Linked DNA regions of Sus scrofa. The protein of the gene in region 1 interacts with the protein of each later gene in a pairwise test. Links are inferred from orthologs where the notes say so. Each region holds a gene or a part of one and is shown in the gene's direction. Other genes may lie near its edges. The genes, in order: HOMEZ, PIN1, ELOA and DEF6.

Region 1 (4,017 bases):
TGTGGGATACTAGCTTAAAGGACACAGCTTTTAGGAGCTGAGACTGTTACTAAATGTGCTGAGGGAGAGAGGAGAGGAATGGGCAAACGCAAGGCACACAAAAGAAAATAGGGTTCTGAGCTGAAGCACAGATATATTTCTGATGCTTTGCAATCCTAAAAAAGCTCTAGACCTTAGTGTGGAGTGGTGAAGAATCAGAAGTAGCAGTTATGATGGCTGAATTTTAGGGGGTACACGAGAAGGGGTGAAGTCTGTGGAATACAGAAGAGTCACTTCTGAAAGTACTGTTCCCATATATGTATAACTGGGTCACTTTGCTGTACAGCAGAAATTGACAGAACATTGTAAATTGACTACAATAAGAAAGAAGGAAAAAAAAGTACTGTTCCCAAGTTTTAGTCAGAAGACTGAGAATCCTGACTATACAAATTTACGGCCCAGAATTGTGGTGTGGAATACTGTTTTAGTGTAAACCCTTTCTTGACAGCAAAACCCACGGTCCCAAATATGAGTTACAGCTCCAGGTCCTCTTTACTATGGCAGAAAGGGGGGCCTGGGGAGGTGTGGAGTGTCCTAAACAAGGTGACCCCTCCAGCACTTCCTCTTTGAGAACATCCGTCTGGTGACAACTGGACCCGGGAAGCGGCCCAAGGTGCCAGGCTGCTAGGATCCTTGTCTTTCGGGGTGGCCAAGACATTCTATACAAGTTCCCGGTTGCTCTACGCGTTTACAGTGACGCCGCCGACGGCAGCTGGGAACGCGCGCCTCCTTGTGTGAGCTGGGAAAGGAATACAGAAAAAGTCTTCCTTCCGGAGGAAACAAATAAGGAGTAGTTTGTAGGCGGTCTGGACAGTTCAACAAACTGCTGTGAATTCCTTGGGGAATTCCAGCAGGAACAGGGCCCTGTGGACTCCGAAGATCCGGTGCCCACAAGGTGGGGGGGGCGGGGGAGCGCGGGGCGGAGTACCATTCACGGCACCCTAGCGGCGGGGGGACATCTTCCCTGTCCCACGCACCCAATAGTCACCCCGGCTGAGGCACAACGCAGCCAATAGCGGACTTCAACAGAGACCCACGCTGCCAATGGCCGGCTCAGCCCCTTCCGCCGGGGCCCGCCTCCTTAAACCCACCAATCAGGACTCTGGCCACCTTGGCACCGCCCCTGGGGCCCGCCCCACCCATCCGCCCCGCCTCCAACTCGCTGGAGCTGGGCTGGGCTTGACCGGCGCGCTCTCGGGGGCGGGAGGGGGGCAAGTCCCGGTCCTGGCCCTCGGCGCGGGTGGGCTCGGAGCAGGCCGCACCGGGCAGCAACCCTATTCTCACCCCGGAGGCCCCCTGCCCTTTCTCCCCCTTTCCCCCCGGCCCATGGTGCGAGGCTGGGAGCCGCCGCCCGGGCCGGACAGCGGTGAGTGATCCCCAGCCCTTTCGACTTCCCCTCCCAGCCCGTGTACGATCTCCGACCTCTGGAGTTCCATCCCCGCGCTAGGGGGAGGAGAATTCTGGGTTCGAAGTTGCCCGGTTCTCTCTCCTTTCTCCTCTGGACTTTTCGGTTCCCTGTTGTAACTGGGGGAGGGTGAGTGGGTGTGTAGGGAGGAGGGGAAAGCAGGGTTGGGACGCCCTCGGAAAGGGGAGGATAAAGATTCGCCTGCTCTCTGGGGCTCATCGCCCCAAGTGCAGCAACTTTTTGTTCTCTGACCCAGTTCGGAGCCTTCTAGACTGCCTGTGAAATGGAGGATAGGAGAAACGTTTCCTTCCCAAGGCCTCCCCTCCTCCCCTCCACGACTACCTCCTGGCGACCTCAACACACGCACAGAAACCTGGCCTTATTCCTGGGGAGCAGTGGCCTTTGGGAATGAAAGGTTTAAGAGAAACTACTCCTTCTGACCCCTTTACCCAGCCATACTCAGAAAATCAAACCAGTAAAGTGAGAACCTGAGTCTTCAGAGGTTCCTGGTGTTGCGTCCTAATCTGAGACTTCTGAACCGAAAGACTCAAGCTGAGACCTATTTGGTAATGTGGGCCCAGATGAGATCTTTTATCATATGACCCCCCTTCTCACCATACCTTTGAAGCGCTTTTTATGGTTAAGATAGGTAGGTGGCAGTAATTGAAAACAAAAAAGCCAGCTGGGAATTTTTAAATGATGCATACACATCTTAAGCATTGTCATTAAAAGTACATTCATTTCACCAATCTCTTGGGTTAGTGTCCAGGCGTTTTCTTTGTGTACATTCTGCTGACTGGCAGTCCCAGTTGCCTTTGTAGTATAAACTACATAAGCAAATCTCAAATCTGACTGCACCCTGAGAACTTTTTAAAACTACTTATGCCTGGGCCCTAGTCCAGGCTAATTAAGTCGGAGTGAGGAGGTGAATGCTCTGGTTTCAGTTTTCCAGGTAATTCTAATGTGCAGTCTGAGACAGGAGCCACTGCCTCTCATCTGTGATTTCCAGGTTTCGTTTCTTTATAGTGAAGTGGAAATTTAAACACAAATTTAAAAACATTTAAATCTGAATGGAATACCTCTTGAGATTTTTAAGTCCCCTGCCCCTTCCATTCTTTTACAGTTGTCTTGCCTACTCTCAAGTTTTTTAAAATGTACGCTCCTTTGTATTACGTCTTTTGAAAGCATGTGACTGTTTTCATAGGAACAATTCTTAACATACTAATTTTTTCATAGGTTTATGTGATGTTGAATTTATATAAACACAGAAAAACAATAGGCCTAAGCAGGCTTGGAATATCACACACCATGCCTGAGGACACAGAACGACTGAAGGAAGCAGGTGATTTTGGCACACTGGAAAGTAGCCTAACAGCCTCTAGTTTCCAGTGCCCTGTGGGTGTGGATTACCATGTAATCCAGTGAGGATCTGTTAAGTCAGGCTCCTGGCCCAGTTGAACATCCCTGGCTGCCACTCTTTCCAACTAATATCACCAATACCTAATCCCTTCAAGGCTAATTCAGATTCTCTTGAGGCTTCCATCCACTCTTTTGATTCATTCATAAAAAGTTGTTTCTTCTTTAAGCAATTACCACACATTGCCTTTATTTATTAAATCGGGAGGACATAGGCAGAGTTTCTTAACCTGGGCTTGTGGGCACTCAGTGAACCCCCTGAGATTATACTATATATAATATGAGAGTGTGAATGTTTATTGGTGGGGGGGTATAAGTCATAACTTTCTGAGGGTCTGTAATTTCTGATTTTCAAAGAGTTCCTTGATCCAAAAACTTAAGAAGCACATGAATATCACTAAAAGCCCCTTAAGGTCCTGAAAACTCTCACCAAAACACATTTCATTCAAAAACATACTTCAGTTCTCTGAGTAAACATTTAGGGAATTTAGCAGGATCATATCTGTTCTCTTATTTGAATGATCTCTTGCTTTAACCACAAGTCTAGGCTCAAGTTCAATTTTTTTTTTTTCCTTTTTGTCTGGGCCAGGGATCAGATCCCAGCTGCAGTTTGTTATCTGAACCGCAGTTTGCGACCTACACTGCAGCTGCAATGCTGGACCCTTTAACCCACTGTGCCAGGCTGGGGACTGAACCTTGGTCCTAGTGCTACAGAATATTGATCCCATTGTGCCACAGCAGGAACTCCTAGGCTCAAGTTCTGAAGACCTCCTTTCTCTAGGATTATTGTGAACATCAACATCAGAAGTTTAAGGCAACCCATTTTTTTCTGCCATCTGCCCAGGGGTATGGAAAGCCCAAAGGGAAGTAAGAGTGTTATCTTGACTGTATTTATTGATGACTTTAAGTAGCAGTGGGACATATGTGGCAATTTTTGGGGGCATTTTTAATAAGGATGCAAACTTAATAGTAATTCAGAATTGATAATACCACCACTGACATGGACACCTCTGCCCAGAGGATTTATTTCTCTAGCTCTGATTCCCTTTTTTCCTACCTTCTCCAAAGGAGGTACAAGAACACAAGACACTGTAGTGTCTTCACTGTGGTTGTGATTACTGTAGAATCTACCCTTCTTGTTGGAGTTCTCATAAGCC
Region 2 (4,136 bases), on another chromosome or scaffold:
TTAACCATGAAACAAATTTTTTTAGAAATCATGTCAGGCTCCCATCCAAGCAGGATATTTTCTGAGGGAGTTGGCCGATCAGAAGAAGATTTGGGTGCTGTGAACTACGGGAGGGGGCAAAAGCTTGTCTCTTAGTCAGTGTTTAGGCTGCTGTTGCCTGTACATACTCACTGTGTATGTACCTTGGACAGGCCATCTAGTCTTGGGGATCCTGTGGCTGTATCCACACCCCCAGCTGCTGGAGGATGCAGCAAGGGGGTGCTTATACAGGGCTGGGCCTGACTCCCCAGGTGTAAATGGTGCCCTCGCCAGAGTCCCTGGAGGTGGACAGGTACACTGGGGGCCACTGTGCACTCAGGATTCCCTGGCTGGCGTTACCGAGGTCTGGACAGAGGAGCGAGGAAGAGGCCATCTTGTTGCTGCCCCGGTGAGGCTGAGAGAGAACCAGAATCCAGGGAGAAGAGGAGGTCGGGGAGGGATATCCCAGTGACAGCCTGTTCAGCCCAGAGTCACTCAGATCATAGTCACTCGAAGATGCCTCTGGCTTAGGGGGACCACCTGGGAGCCCCAGAGGGGTGGTCCGAGCACACTGGCACATTATAGCAGAAGCCACTGCAGCATGCAGTCCGTAGAGGTTGGGGCTTTTGTGTTGCATCAGAGAGCCTGTCTGACAGGCAGCATGTCAAGGTGACGGCCAGTGCAGACCAGGAGGACCAGGGATGGGTGGATGGGAGAGTAGGGACAGCCTCATCACTGGCTGGCAGCCCACACAGAAGGGAGAACAGAATGGCAACAGCAAGTGTGCTTTGTCAAGGTGTCTCTCTGTGCCGAGCACTGTGCTGTGTGTCAGTGCATTATCTGCTGGCAGATGACTAACATTTGAGGCTCAGAGGTAGAGGGGTGGTCAGGACAGTATGAGCGTGGCCAAGATACAGGGAAGGTGGGGGTTATAGGGACAGCCATGGAACCAGCCAGGCAAAGCAGATGCTGGGACAGGCGGTTGCAGCCTTGATGTGCAGCGAGATGGGGTTGGGGTGGCAGGGTGATAGGGAGTGCTGTCCTGGTCGTCTGGGGCAGATAGATGGATGACAAGTGACATTGAGGTCAGACCGTGAAGTTTGCACCAGGCTAGCGTTGGGCTCGCTGCTGCCCCCTGGCGCCCTCTACTGGGAGTCCTTCATCTTTTCCTCCCCTCACAGAGCCCAGCCTCCCTGTCCCTCCAGGGAGCATCGGTCCCCAGTGGGGACAGTCCGGGCCACATACGGTGGGTGAATGTGGTACACTGCCAACACACCCTGTCAGGGCAGCTGGAGGAAGAGTCTTGTCAGCCGCCCCTAGGGCGTACTCCGTGGAACAATGCACGTCCCTTTCCGAGCCCCAGCCTGGCAGCCTCTGGGTCCCCTGGCAATGCCCTGGTGAGCGGCCCTGGCCTTTCTCACACTTTGGACAGAAGGGACAGCTGAGACCCATGGGCCCAGGACCTGGCCGTCTCCTATGGCAGAACTGGGCACGTGCCTTGGCCTTCTTGCCTTTCTCCTAGAAGCCTCTAGAAAACTTTCCTACCACTGCCTTGAGGCCCCTGGGGGGACCCTTTTTAACATCTGTCCTGTATCCTGCTATCCTCCCTAACACGACCCGGAGGAAGATTTTCTCTCATAGCGTGTGTGTCGAGAGAAGGGGCAGGAAGAGCTATGCTCTTCACGGAGCATTCATGTGTGCGCGCATGCGTACTCGTGTTCATACAGGCGCCCATTATGGGGAGACTCATGCATTGAATGGGGTGTGAGACCAGCTGGCTGTTGAGGTCACCATAGGGTCGCGGTGTGCATGCACATGAAAAGCCCCACATCGTGGGTGCCTGCGACTCCAGGTGTGACTGCGCATGCGCACAGGGAGTGCCTTGCCGCCCTCCCTGGAGCTCCCCCCGCCCCGCCCCGCCACTGACGTGGAGGTCTCCCGGTGTGTCCTGCAGGCTATATCCAGAAGATTAAGTCGGGAGAGGAGGACTTTGAATCTCTGGCCTCACAGTTCAGCGACTGCAACTCCGCCAAGGCCAGGGGAGACCTGGGTGCCTTCAGCAGAGGTGCGCGAGGAATGGGCACCACCAAACCCTGGCGGGAACCCCTAACCCACCAGCGCCTGCCCCCCACCTAGAGATAGGGTGGGCTGGCCCCTGTCGCGCAGGCCTCTAGGGTCCACCAGGTGGCAGCACTGTTCCTCCTCGAGCTTCATAGGCTCCCCTGTTGGAGTGGCGGCCGCAGAGCCCTCTCCCAATGACCTTCTTTCTTAGGGTGGGGAGGCGGTCTGTGTGTCTCTCTGCTCACTTGGCCCCATCACAGGCCCACCAGGGTGGGTGCTTGCTGACATTTTCCTATTCTCCCATTGGAGATGTCAGGCTGGGGCCCTTGGAGGCCCAGAATCCCTTGCCTCCCCTGGTGGGTGGGAACAACAGGGTGAGGGGAGGAGGGAGGTCAGGTGAGCAACCGCTGAGTTCCGGCCTCTGCAGCTGAGACTGTGGAAAGCGAGGAGCAGAGGGAACCAGGCCACCGCCTCCTTCCCCCTCCATCCCCAGGGTCATCAGGGGCCCAGAATGGGGTGAGGGGTGTCAGGGAGCCAGCAAGGGGCTGCGGACCACCCCAGGAGGCAGGTAGGACAAGTGATGTGGCAGTGGCTGGGAACCGGGCCCAGGGAGATCAGTTCATTACTAAAAAGTATCTCTTCAGTGGACGGTAGAGGCTGCAGCTCTGCCTGCCATCCCTCACACTGTCCTCCGGCTTCCTGGGGCCTCCTTAATAGCCCTGCCGCCCCCAGCTGGGCCGCAGCTTGGCCCCTTGACAGGGCCATAAACCTGTGACAGATGAGTCTGAATGAGGGCCAGGGGCGGGCATGTGGGCGCCCCATCTGCTGGCTCTGCCCGGTCCTGGCCCCAGGCCCGGGTCTTGACCCCCCCGCACACACCAGCCTTCATACTTCCCCAGGTCAGATGCAGAAGCCATTTGAAGACGCCTCCTTTGCTCTGCGGACAGGGGAGATGAGCGGGCCCGTGTTCACGGATTCCGGCATCCACATCATCCTGCGCACGGAGTGAGGGGTGTGGACAGCTCAGGCCTGGCCTCCCGGTGTGGGGTGGGGCGGGACGGGGTGGCTGGGCCCACAGACCCTGCTCCCTGCTGCCAGCCGACCTGTGGGTCCCCCTGCCTGCTAACGTCACACAGTATTTATTGATCCCAACATGGCTGGAAGGGGGGCTCTTCACCATCGGGGTCTCCCTGCCAGACTCCCCTCCCTTTTAGGAATTGACTTCAGAAGGGCCTGGGGTGGAGAGGCCCTCCAGGCTCCCAGACCCAGCAGGTGGGGGTGACCTGTCCCAAAGAGAAGGCCTAGTTAGCCGAGCCACCCCCTGTGTTCCCCCAGGTCCAGGAAGGGGGTGGGGGGGCGTGCGGGCAGGAGGGCCTTAAGTTGTTTCTGGTTATGCCATGTTCCTCTTTTCAATTGCAAAAAGCAGATGCTCCGCTTGGGGCCCAGGCTGCCTGCTGCTTCGGGGCTCTCTCTACACAGCAGTGCAGCGCCCTCTCCACCCTCAATTAAACCTGGAACCACTATTCCACTGTCCCGTGTCTCATTTCCTCCCTGCTGAGGTGGGTGGGACACTGTTGGGGAAGTGATCATTTCCTGCCATCCTTGTGTCCAAGTGTCCAGGCTGCACTTTCCTCCCTCAGAAGCCTCTCCTCATCCTGGGCTTGGGGGCATCCTAGCAGCAGCCAGACTCTCGGAAGTAGAGCACTGATGAGTATCAGAAGTCCTCAAACTTGGGTGGTCAAGAATATTCTAGAGGAGTTCCCGCTGTGGTGCAACAGGATTAGCGGCCTCTCTGGAGCACTGGGGCGCACGTTCGATTCCCCAGCCTGGCACAGTGGGTTAAGGATCCAGCCTTGCTACAGATGCTGCATAGGTTATAACTGTGGTTCAGATCAGATCCCTGGCCCAGGAACTTCATATGCCTTGGGTGGCCAAAAAAAAAAAAAGAATATTCTGGAATGCAAGGGCCCTGACCGCACAGCTCTGGATTCATCAGAGCCAATCTCGGTGCTCTGGGCATCTCCACCACCACCACCACTCTGTACCCATGCACACAT
Region 3 (4,124 bases), on another chromosome or scaffold:
ATAGGCCGGCGGCTACAGCTCTGATTCGACCCCTAGTCTGGGAACCTCCATATGCCAAGGGGGCGGCCCTAGAAAAGACCAAAAAAAAGGAGAAAAAAAAATGTACAGTATCAGTTAATATATTAATAAACCTCACAAGAAATCTATACAGAAACAATTTCAGGAGTTCCTGTTGTGGCACAGTGGTTAACGAATCCGACTAGGAACCATGAAGTTGCAGGTTTGGTCCCTGGCCTTGCTCAGTGGGTTGAGGATCCAGCGTTGCCGTGAGCTGTGGGGTAGCTTGCAGTCGCGGCTCAGATCCGGCATTGCTGTGGCTCTGGCGTAGGCTGGTGGCTACAGCTCCGATTAGACCCCTAGCCTGGGAGGTCTTATATGCCGCGAGTGCGGCCCAAGAAAAGGCAAAAAGACAAACAATTTCAGCCAGTAAGTTGACCACAGTCAGCATTGCTAGAGGTAGGGACTGGAGCTCAGGTTGTCACTGAGCCCCAACCCTCTGTCCTTCACACTCACCACCCAACAAACCTCACACTCTGTCCACTTGGTAAGATAGAGGAGTGGCAGCGCCCAAGCCAGGAGTGGTCCAACGGGGAAGCCCTCCACCCAGAAGTATTCCTCACTCAGCACACTGCCCAGCTCACAGAATTCCAATGGACCATTCCGTGAAAGACAAGGGCCCCCTTCTGCTGTTGAAGACAGCATCTTTGGTGTTTGTTTTCACTTGTCTTTCAGGATTCTAATTGACTCTAGTGCCAGCCAGCCTGGGGTTGCTTTTTTCCAAAATTAAAGTACCTTTATGGGTTTTTTTTATTATTATAAAAGTACATATTTGTTGAAGTTCCCATTGTAGCTCAGTGGTAATGAACCCAACTAGAATCCATGAGGATGCGGGTTTGATCCCTGGCCTTGCTCAGTGAGTTAAACATCCAGTGTTGCCGTGAGCTGTGGTGTAGGTGCCGTGATGTGGCTTGGATCCTGCATTGCTGTGGCTGTGGTGTAGGGTGGCAGCTGCAGCTCCAATTCTACTCCTAGCCTGGAAACTTCTTATGCCATGAGTGCGGCCCTAAAAAGCAAAAAAAAAAAAAAAAAAAGGAAAGTAGATATTTGTTGCAAAAAGTCAAAAGTGTGCCTAGCAAAGATGAGAACCTTCCTACCCATTTTTCTTCCCCAGTATAGCCTTAAACATGCCTTCTGAACCTGTTTTTTAGGTCTTCTACAAGGGGCTCTATAGTGCTGGTAAGAGAGGTGGGAAATCCTTGTCAGGTTTTCTAATGATACTCTGGGCTAACGTTAAGTTGAATAGTAATTAGTTCAGTTTTCAAGAAACCTTCATGGAATGCCACCTGTGGGCTAAGTATTGTTGATCCAAGATGGACAAAACAGCCTCAGACTTTAGGGAACAGCATTCTGCTGTTGAAAACCCTTGTATAAACCAAGGAGTAGATTGTAATCCCCCAGTGAATATATACAAAATATCATTTTCAGAACTGGCTAAAAAACTTTCTTTTTAATCGGCGTGACATGTACAACATAATTAACTGATCTGCCAAGTAGTCAGATATTCAAGTGAGACTTCAATATTCGCAAGTCTCAGGTTGACATACATAGGGTAGAGGGTTGGGGTGCGCTCTCCCCAGTATCCCCAGCAGCATGCATTGTTTCTTTTTATTCTGGTTGTTGAGATCTCCCCGGGTAACATGCACAAAATGTTCTGAGTGTCTCAAGTATATGCCAGGTCAGTTAGTCAGCAATTCTGCTTAAAAAATGGGCCCATTTTCCCATTACACCAATGTTACATTTTCAAAATGGAAGCAATTTAAAATGTAAATGTAAAAGCATTTGCTGTGCAGAAAAGGGAGACTCTAGGGCCAGGACTAGAATCCAAGTCTCCTCATGCCTAGTTTGATGTGTTTTCCATTATACTTCATGATTGAGTCTTAGGGCACCAAGCAGGTGATGATTAATCTTTATGGACTTTTTATCCAGTGCTGATTCTATGGACTAGTTTATACCAGGCAACAGAGATTTAAAGTTGGACAGGTCAATGATGGCAGCTGATAAACAGCTCAGTGACAGGACAGAAGAATAGATGGACAGTTTACACCCTGAAAAGGGTTAGTTGCAGAGGAAAGGGCACCAAGCAGAGGGGTGGGAACACCTTAGGGAGGTCTTCTCAATTTAGTGAGTGCATGAAAGTTCTTTTACTTTTTCCGGAGCTGGGACTTGAAGAGCTGCTGGGCCTTCCCGCATTGGGTGAAAGGTCAGGCTCCCAAATTGCTGATAGTGATAAGATTAGGATATAATCTAATCAAACAAAATGTGATCAATGCTGGTATTTTAAACCAATTTTCCACTGTTCAGTACTTCATTTTAGTAGTAATAATAGTAATAGTGAAATTTAGTGCTTATAGGATGAGGGTAAGGGCCCTCAAGGATGGTCTCTTGGGCTGGTCTGATTCAGGCTGTACTGATTTAGAGAAAACAGCCATTCATTCATTCAATTATTCATTGAAGAAGTATTTCTTTGGTACCTCTGTACAAGACACTGTTTTGGGAGAAAAGTGAGACATGGACTATTATTAATTACTTCACGTAGCTAAACTGACTTGACAAATCCCTCTCTCTAGGCCTCAACTCCTTGACCTATTCAGAGATGTGCGTTAACAGCGTACCTAAACTGTTTATATTCAAATTCCAGCTTCGCACTTCTTTCCTGTTATGTGATCACATGCAAGTTCGACTCCCAGGGCTTCAGTTTCGTCATCTGTAAAATGGGGATAATATAACTCCTTTCTTTGGGTTTAAGTGAAGGTGAAATTAAGCTAGTTTACAGCTGACGCTTAGTGCGCCCAATCAGGGGTGGTCACTATGTTAATTCCCTGCTGATTCCCAGGGCAGCAGACCCACCCTGGAACCACACACAGGTGTTACTTAGGGCGTGGCTTACGGCGGACGGGGGTGGACCAGGGTTTATAAAGCCAGGGTCTCAGGCGCTCGCCTCATTCCACCTTGGTTAGACACGGGACAGGTCTTCCAGGCCTTGGCTCCGCACACCAAGGACCAGAAGCAGGGCCGGCCAGCGGTGACCAGTGCGGAGCGGGCCAGGACGGAGCGGACCAGTGCAGAGTCGGCGCGCGGGGACCAAGCGGCTCCAGCTCCCCGCGCGCGCTCGCGCGCGGCCGGGGTACGCGCTGAAAACCTGGTCCCCCGGCCCCCCAGCCCTGTGGGCGGGGCCTGCAGCCGGCCAGCCCCCCACGCCCCGCGCCCCCCCACTTCGCCAAGGCCCGGAAGGGGCCAGTCGCGCTTCCGTCTCCGCCGGGGATGCACGGAGGGCGGAGCTGCAGCCCGAGGACGCGACGCGAGCCCAGTTCCGGCGAGGAGGCCGCGCCAGTGACAGCGATGGCGGCGGAGTCGGCGCTCCAAGTTGTGGAGAAGCTGCAGGCGCGCCTAGCCGCGAACCCGGACCCGAAGAAGGTGAGCGAGTGGGCAGCGCGGAGCGGGGCGGGCGTTGGGCGCGGCGTGACCCCGTAACGGTCGCGGGCCCGGGGGCGGCCCCTTCCCGAGCGGCCCGGGCGGTAGGGTCTCGGACCCGGAGCGCGGCCCCGCCGGGCTTCGGCCTGCGGTCGGGAAGTTCGTGGCCATTGGCCACTGCCCACGCGGTGGGACCCCGCACGGCTGGCGGCGCGCCTCCGCGATCCGGCCTTCCTGCCTCCGGGGCCGGGCCGGGGCGCCCGCGGGCTCCGGGAGGGCAGGAGCGCGCTCCGTGCGGCCACCGCGTGCCGGCGGGGCTCCCGGAGCCCTCCTCCGGCGTCCCGGGCCAGCTGTTTCCTGTCGGGAGAGCTCGCCCGGAGTTAACTCCTGCCTGCTCCGTCCCTCGCCCTGCGAAATGTTTCTGATTTCTTAGTGCCTTTTGATGTTTGTTGGGAGAAGGAGGTGGTTCTGCCATTGCTTGATGGGGAGTCTAAGCTCAGTGTGGTCCTGCGCCTATAAGACGTTTTTATTGCATTCTGACGTGGTATTAGAACGTGGACCTTTTCACTTTCTCAGTAAGTCTTTTTAAAACAACATTAACCTCCTGTCACCTAGGTAAAAACTTAGGTTGTGATTGGAAGGGGAAAAAAGAT
Region 4 (3,562 bases), about 45 Mb from region 1:
TCACGCTATACATTTTATACCCATGACTCACTCCTTTTGCAACTGAAAGTTCATACCTCTGAATCTCTGTCAATTTTCCTTTCCACTCCTGCCACCCTACTCTCTGGCAAACACCTATTTATTCTCTGAATCTATAATTCTGTTTATGTTTTGTTAGCTTTGTTCATTTTTAAAAATTTTATTTATTTATTTTTCTGTTTAGGGCTTACACCCACGGCATATGGAGTTTCCCAGGCTAGGGGTCAAATCAGACCTACAGCTGCTGGCCTACACCACAGCCACAGGAACACCAGATCCGAGCCACATCTGCAACCTACACCACAGCTCACGGCAATGCTGGATCCTTAACCCACTGAGCAAGACCAGGAATCAACCCACATCCTCATGGATACTAATTGGGTTCCTTACCGCTGAGCCACAACAGGAACTCCTGTTCATTTGTTTTGTTTTTCGTTTTTAGATTCCATATGTCAGTACTTTAAAAAAAAAAACCCAAAACTACAGATCAAATACTAAAATCATGGGTGAATAATGTGGATTTTGCTCCAGATTTCAGAGGAGATAGATGGCTTAGGGCTCATATTACCCAGCAAAACTTTTCTAAAAATCCTCTCGAAACATCTTTCTCCTTCACCCAAATTCCATTCCCTTTGGCAACTCTATACCTCCCTATTCTTCCTTCCTTCCCACACCTTTTCCTCCCTGGGCCCTGCCCATTATCTTAGAGGTGTGAAACAACAATTAGGAGTTCCCGTCGTGGCTCAGCAGTTAACAAATCTGACTAGCATCCATGAGGATGCAGGTTCAATTCCTGGCCTCGCTCAGTGAGTTAAGGATCTGGCGTTGCTGTCAGCTGTGGTGTAGGTGGAAGACGCAGCTCAGATCCTGCCTTGCCATGGCTGTGGCATAGGCTGGTGGGTATAGTTCCTACTCGCCCCCTAGCCTGGGAACCCCCATATGCCGCAGGTGCAGCCTAAAAAGCAAAAAAAAAAAAAAAAGTAGTAAAATACATAAACATATACTTCACAATGTAATTTGCCTTTTTAACCATTTTACAATTCAGTAGTATTAAGTACATTCACATGTAACCATCACAGTTATCTATTTCCAAAGCTTTTTTTTTTTTATCATGTCAAACAGAAACTCTGCACCTATTAAGTGATAACTCATCCTTCCTCCCTTTCAGTGCCTCTATAACCTCTATTCTGCTTTTCTGCCTCCATGAACTTGCCTATTCCAGGTGCCTCATATAAGGGAATAATATAATATAATATTTGTCCTTTTGTGCCTGGCTTCTTTCACTTGGCATAACATTTTCAAGCATGTTGTGGCATGAATCAGGACTTCATTCCTTTTTTTTTTTTTTTTTTTTTTTTTTTGCTTTTTAGAGCCACAACTGTGGCATATGGAAGTTCCCAGGCTAGGGGTTGAATCGGAACCACAGCTGCCGGCCGGCCACAGCCACAGCGACATGGGATCTGAGCCCTACACTACAGCTCATGGCAATGCCAGATCCTTAACCCACTGAGCAAGGTCGGGGTTTGAACTTGCAACCTCATGGTTACCACTCATATTCATTTCTGCTGTGCCACAACGGGAACTCCAGGACTTCATTCCTTTTTATGGCTGAATAATATTCCACTGTAAGGATATACTACATCTTGTTTTTCTACTCATCCATTCATGGATATTTGGTAGTTTCGATCTTTTTGCTATTGCGAATAATGCCATTATGGACATCAGGTGCGAGTTTCTGGGTGGATATGTATTTTCTTTTCTCTAGGTACATACCTAGGGGTAGACTTGCTGGATCACATAGTAATTTTTTTTTCTTTTCCTTTTATTTTAGGGCCACACCTGTGTTATATGGAAGTTCCCAGGCTAAGGGTTGAACAGGAGCTGCAGCTGCTGGCCTACGCCACAGCAATACCAGATCCTTAACCCACTGATCGAGGCTGGGGATTGAACCCGTATCCTCATGGATACTAGTTGGGTTCATAACCCACTGAGCCACAAGGGGAACTCTCTCACATGGTAATTCTGTGTTTACCTTTCGGAGGAACAGCCAAACAGTTTTCCATAGTGCCTATACCATCTTACATTCTCACCAACATTGTATGAAAGTTCCAATTTCTCACCAACACTTATTGTTTTACATTTGAAACATTATTATAGCCTTTCTAGGCCCTGTCCATTTTTATCACATAAGGAAACAGCTGTCACTGTGGAAAGAGCTCAGATTTAGGCAGAAATCCAGTTCCACCACTAACAGGCGGTGTGCATTGGGCAAGTTCTTGGACTCTTAGAGCCTCAGTTTCTTTCTCTGTAAAGTGGACCTAACAAATGTTTTAAATGTAAAATAATAAGTGTTGGTGAGAAATTGGCACTTTCATAAACTGCCTGGTACAGACCCTAGTACCCATGAAGCTCAATATGGGGTAGCTGTTGTTTTCCACTAGAATGTGAGCTTAGGGAAGGCAGGGATTTGGTTTGTTGGGCACATCTCAGTATCCCAAATGCCCAGAGCAATGAGTGGCATTCAGGAGATTTGATAAAATTATCTGTGGAATGAATGAATGGAGAACTTTCTTGCCAGGCAGGGCCATGCGAAAATGGATGGTCTCAGTAGTGACTGTCACTGGAGATGTTTGACAGTGATCTGCATGAACACTGGGAGGCCACTAGGTGCTAGGCTCCATGCAGGAGGAAACCGGTCCTACCTTCAAAGAGCCAAGTTGTGGGGACACAAGCATCCCTATACCCGACCTCCCAAGCAGGCCACGCAGGCTCCTGGCGGAGGGGGAGGGGTTCCCCTGGGGCTCAGCCAGGAGGGGCAGGGGCTGGAGCTGGAGCCCCCCTGGGGCGGCTGTGGCCTGAACCCAGTGACGCCAGCCTGTCTGGAGCCTCCTGCCCTCTCCCAGGTGCTGCCCGACCGAGAGGGGAAGCGCTGCATGTTCTGCGTGAAGACGGCCTCCCGCACGTACGAGATGAGTGCTTCAGACACTCGCCAACGCCAGGAGTGGACGGCTGGTGGGTGCTCGCCGGTTGGCCTGAATCTGACCGGGCCTCGGTCGTCTCATCTGTGAAAAGGGGTGTGGGGGGGATGATAGCACTTTGCCCAGCGCGAGGCGGGACTCCAAAGCCCTCTCCTGGCAGGGGGCCACCTCGAGGCCTCTCTGCCCCTAGCTGGTCCCCTCTCGCTTCCTCTGCAGCCATCCAGATGGCGATTCGGCTGCAGGCAGAGGGGAAGACGTCGCTGCACAAGGACCTGAAGCAGAAGCGGCGCGAGCAGCGGGAGCAGCGGGAGCGGCGCCGGGCAGCCAAGGAGGAGGAGATGCTGCGGCTGCAGCAGCTACAGGAGGAGAAGGAGCGGAAGCTGCAGGAGCTGGAGCTGCTGCAGGAGGCGCAGCGGCAGGCAGAGCGCCTGCTGCAGGAGGAGGAGGAGCGGCGCCGCAGCCAGCACCGCGAGCTGCAGCAGGCGCTCGAGGGCCAATTGCGCGAGGCGGAGCAGGTGCGGCCGCACCCGGGGCGGAGGCGGTGGGCTGATGGACCTGGTGAGACC

Evidence for each region.
Region 2: the proteins of HOMEZ (region 1) and PIN1 interact in binary tests that used the Homo sapiens proteins (3 or more experiments, as listed by UniProt). The two-hybrid records come from large-scale screens. The link is inferred for Sus scrofa from reciprocal best matches to the Homo sapiens genes HOMEZ and PIN1.
Region 3: the proteins of HOMEZ (region 1) and ELOA interact in binary tests that used the Homo sapiens proteins (3 or more experiments, as listed by UniProt). The two-hybrid records come from large-scale screens. The link is inferred for Sus scrofa from reciprocal best matches to the Homo sapiens genes HOMEZ and ELOA.
Region 4: the proteins of HOMEZ (region 1) and DEF6 interact in binary tests that used the Homo sapiens proteins (3 or more experiments, as listed by UniProt). The two-hybrid records come from large-scale screens. The link is inferred for Sus scrofa from reciprocal best matches to the Homo sapiens genes HOMEZ and DEF6.

Annotation. Positions count from the first base shown.
Region 1 is NC_010449.5:75,787,996-75,792,012, forward strand, and holds the start of HOMEZ (homeobox and leucine zipper protein Homez), read left to right. Parts: upstream 1-1,188; 5' UTR 1,189-1,365; coding exon 1,366-1,405; intron 1,406-4,017. UniProt on the Homo sapiens protein: May function as a transcriptional regulator.
Region 2 is NC_010444.4:68,725,870-68,730,005, forward strand, and holds the end of PIN1 (peptidyl-prolyl cis-trans isomerase NIMA-interacting 1), read left to right. Parts: intron 1-1,972; coding exon 1,973-2,083; intron 2,084-2,978; coding exon 2,979-3,088; 3' UTR 3,089-3,602; downstream 3,603-4,136. UniProt on the Homo sapiens protein: Peptidyl-prolyl cis/trans isomerase (PPIase) that binds to and isomerizes specific phosphorylated Ser/Thr-Pro (pSer/Thr-Pro) motifs.
Region 3 is NC_010448.4:81,563,500-81,567,623, forward strand, and holds the start of ELOA (elongin-A), read left to right. Parts: upstream 1-1,292; 5' UTR 1,293-3,321; coding exon 3,322-3,474; intron 3,475-4,124. UniProt on the Homo sapiens protein: SIII, also known as elongin, is a general transcription elongation factor that increases the RNA polymerase II transcription elongation past template-encoded arresting sites.
Region 4 is NC_010449.5:31,208,769-31,212,330, forward strand, and holds part of DEF6 (differentially expressed in FDCP 6 homolog), read left to right. Parts: intron 1-2,921; coding exon 2,922-3,030; intron 3,031-3,212; coding exon 3,213-3,511; intron 3,512-3,562.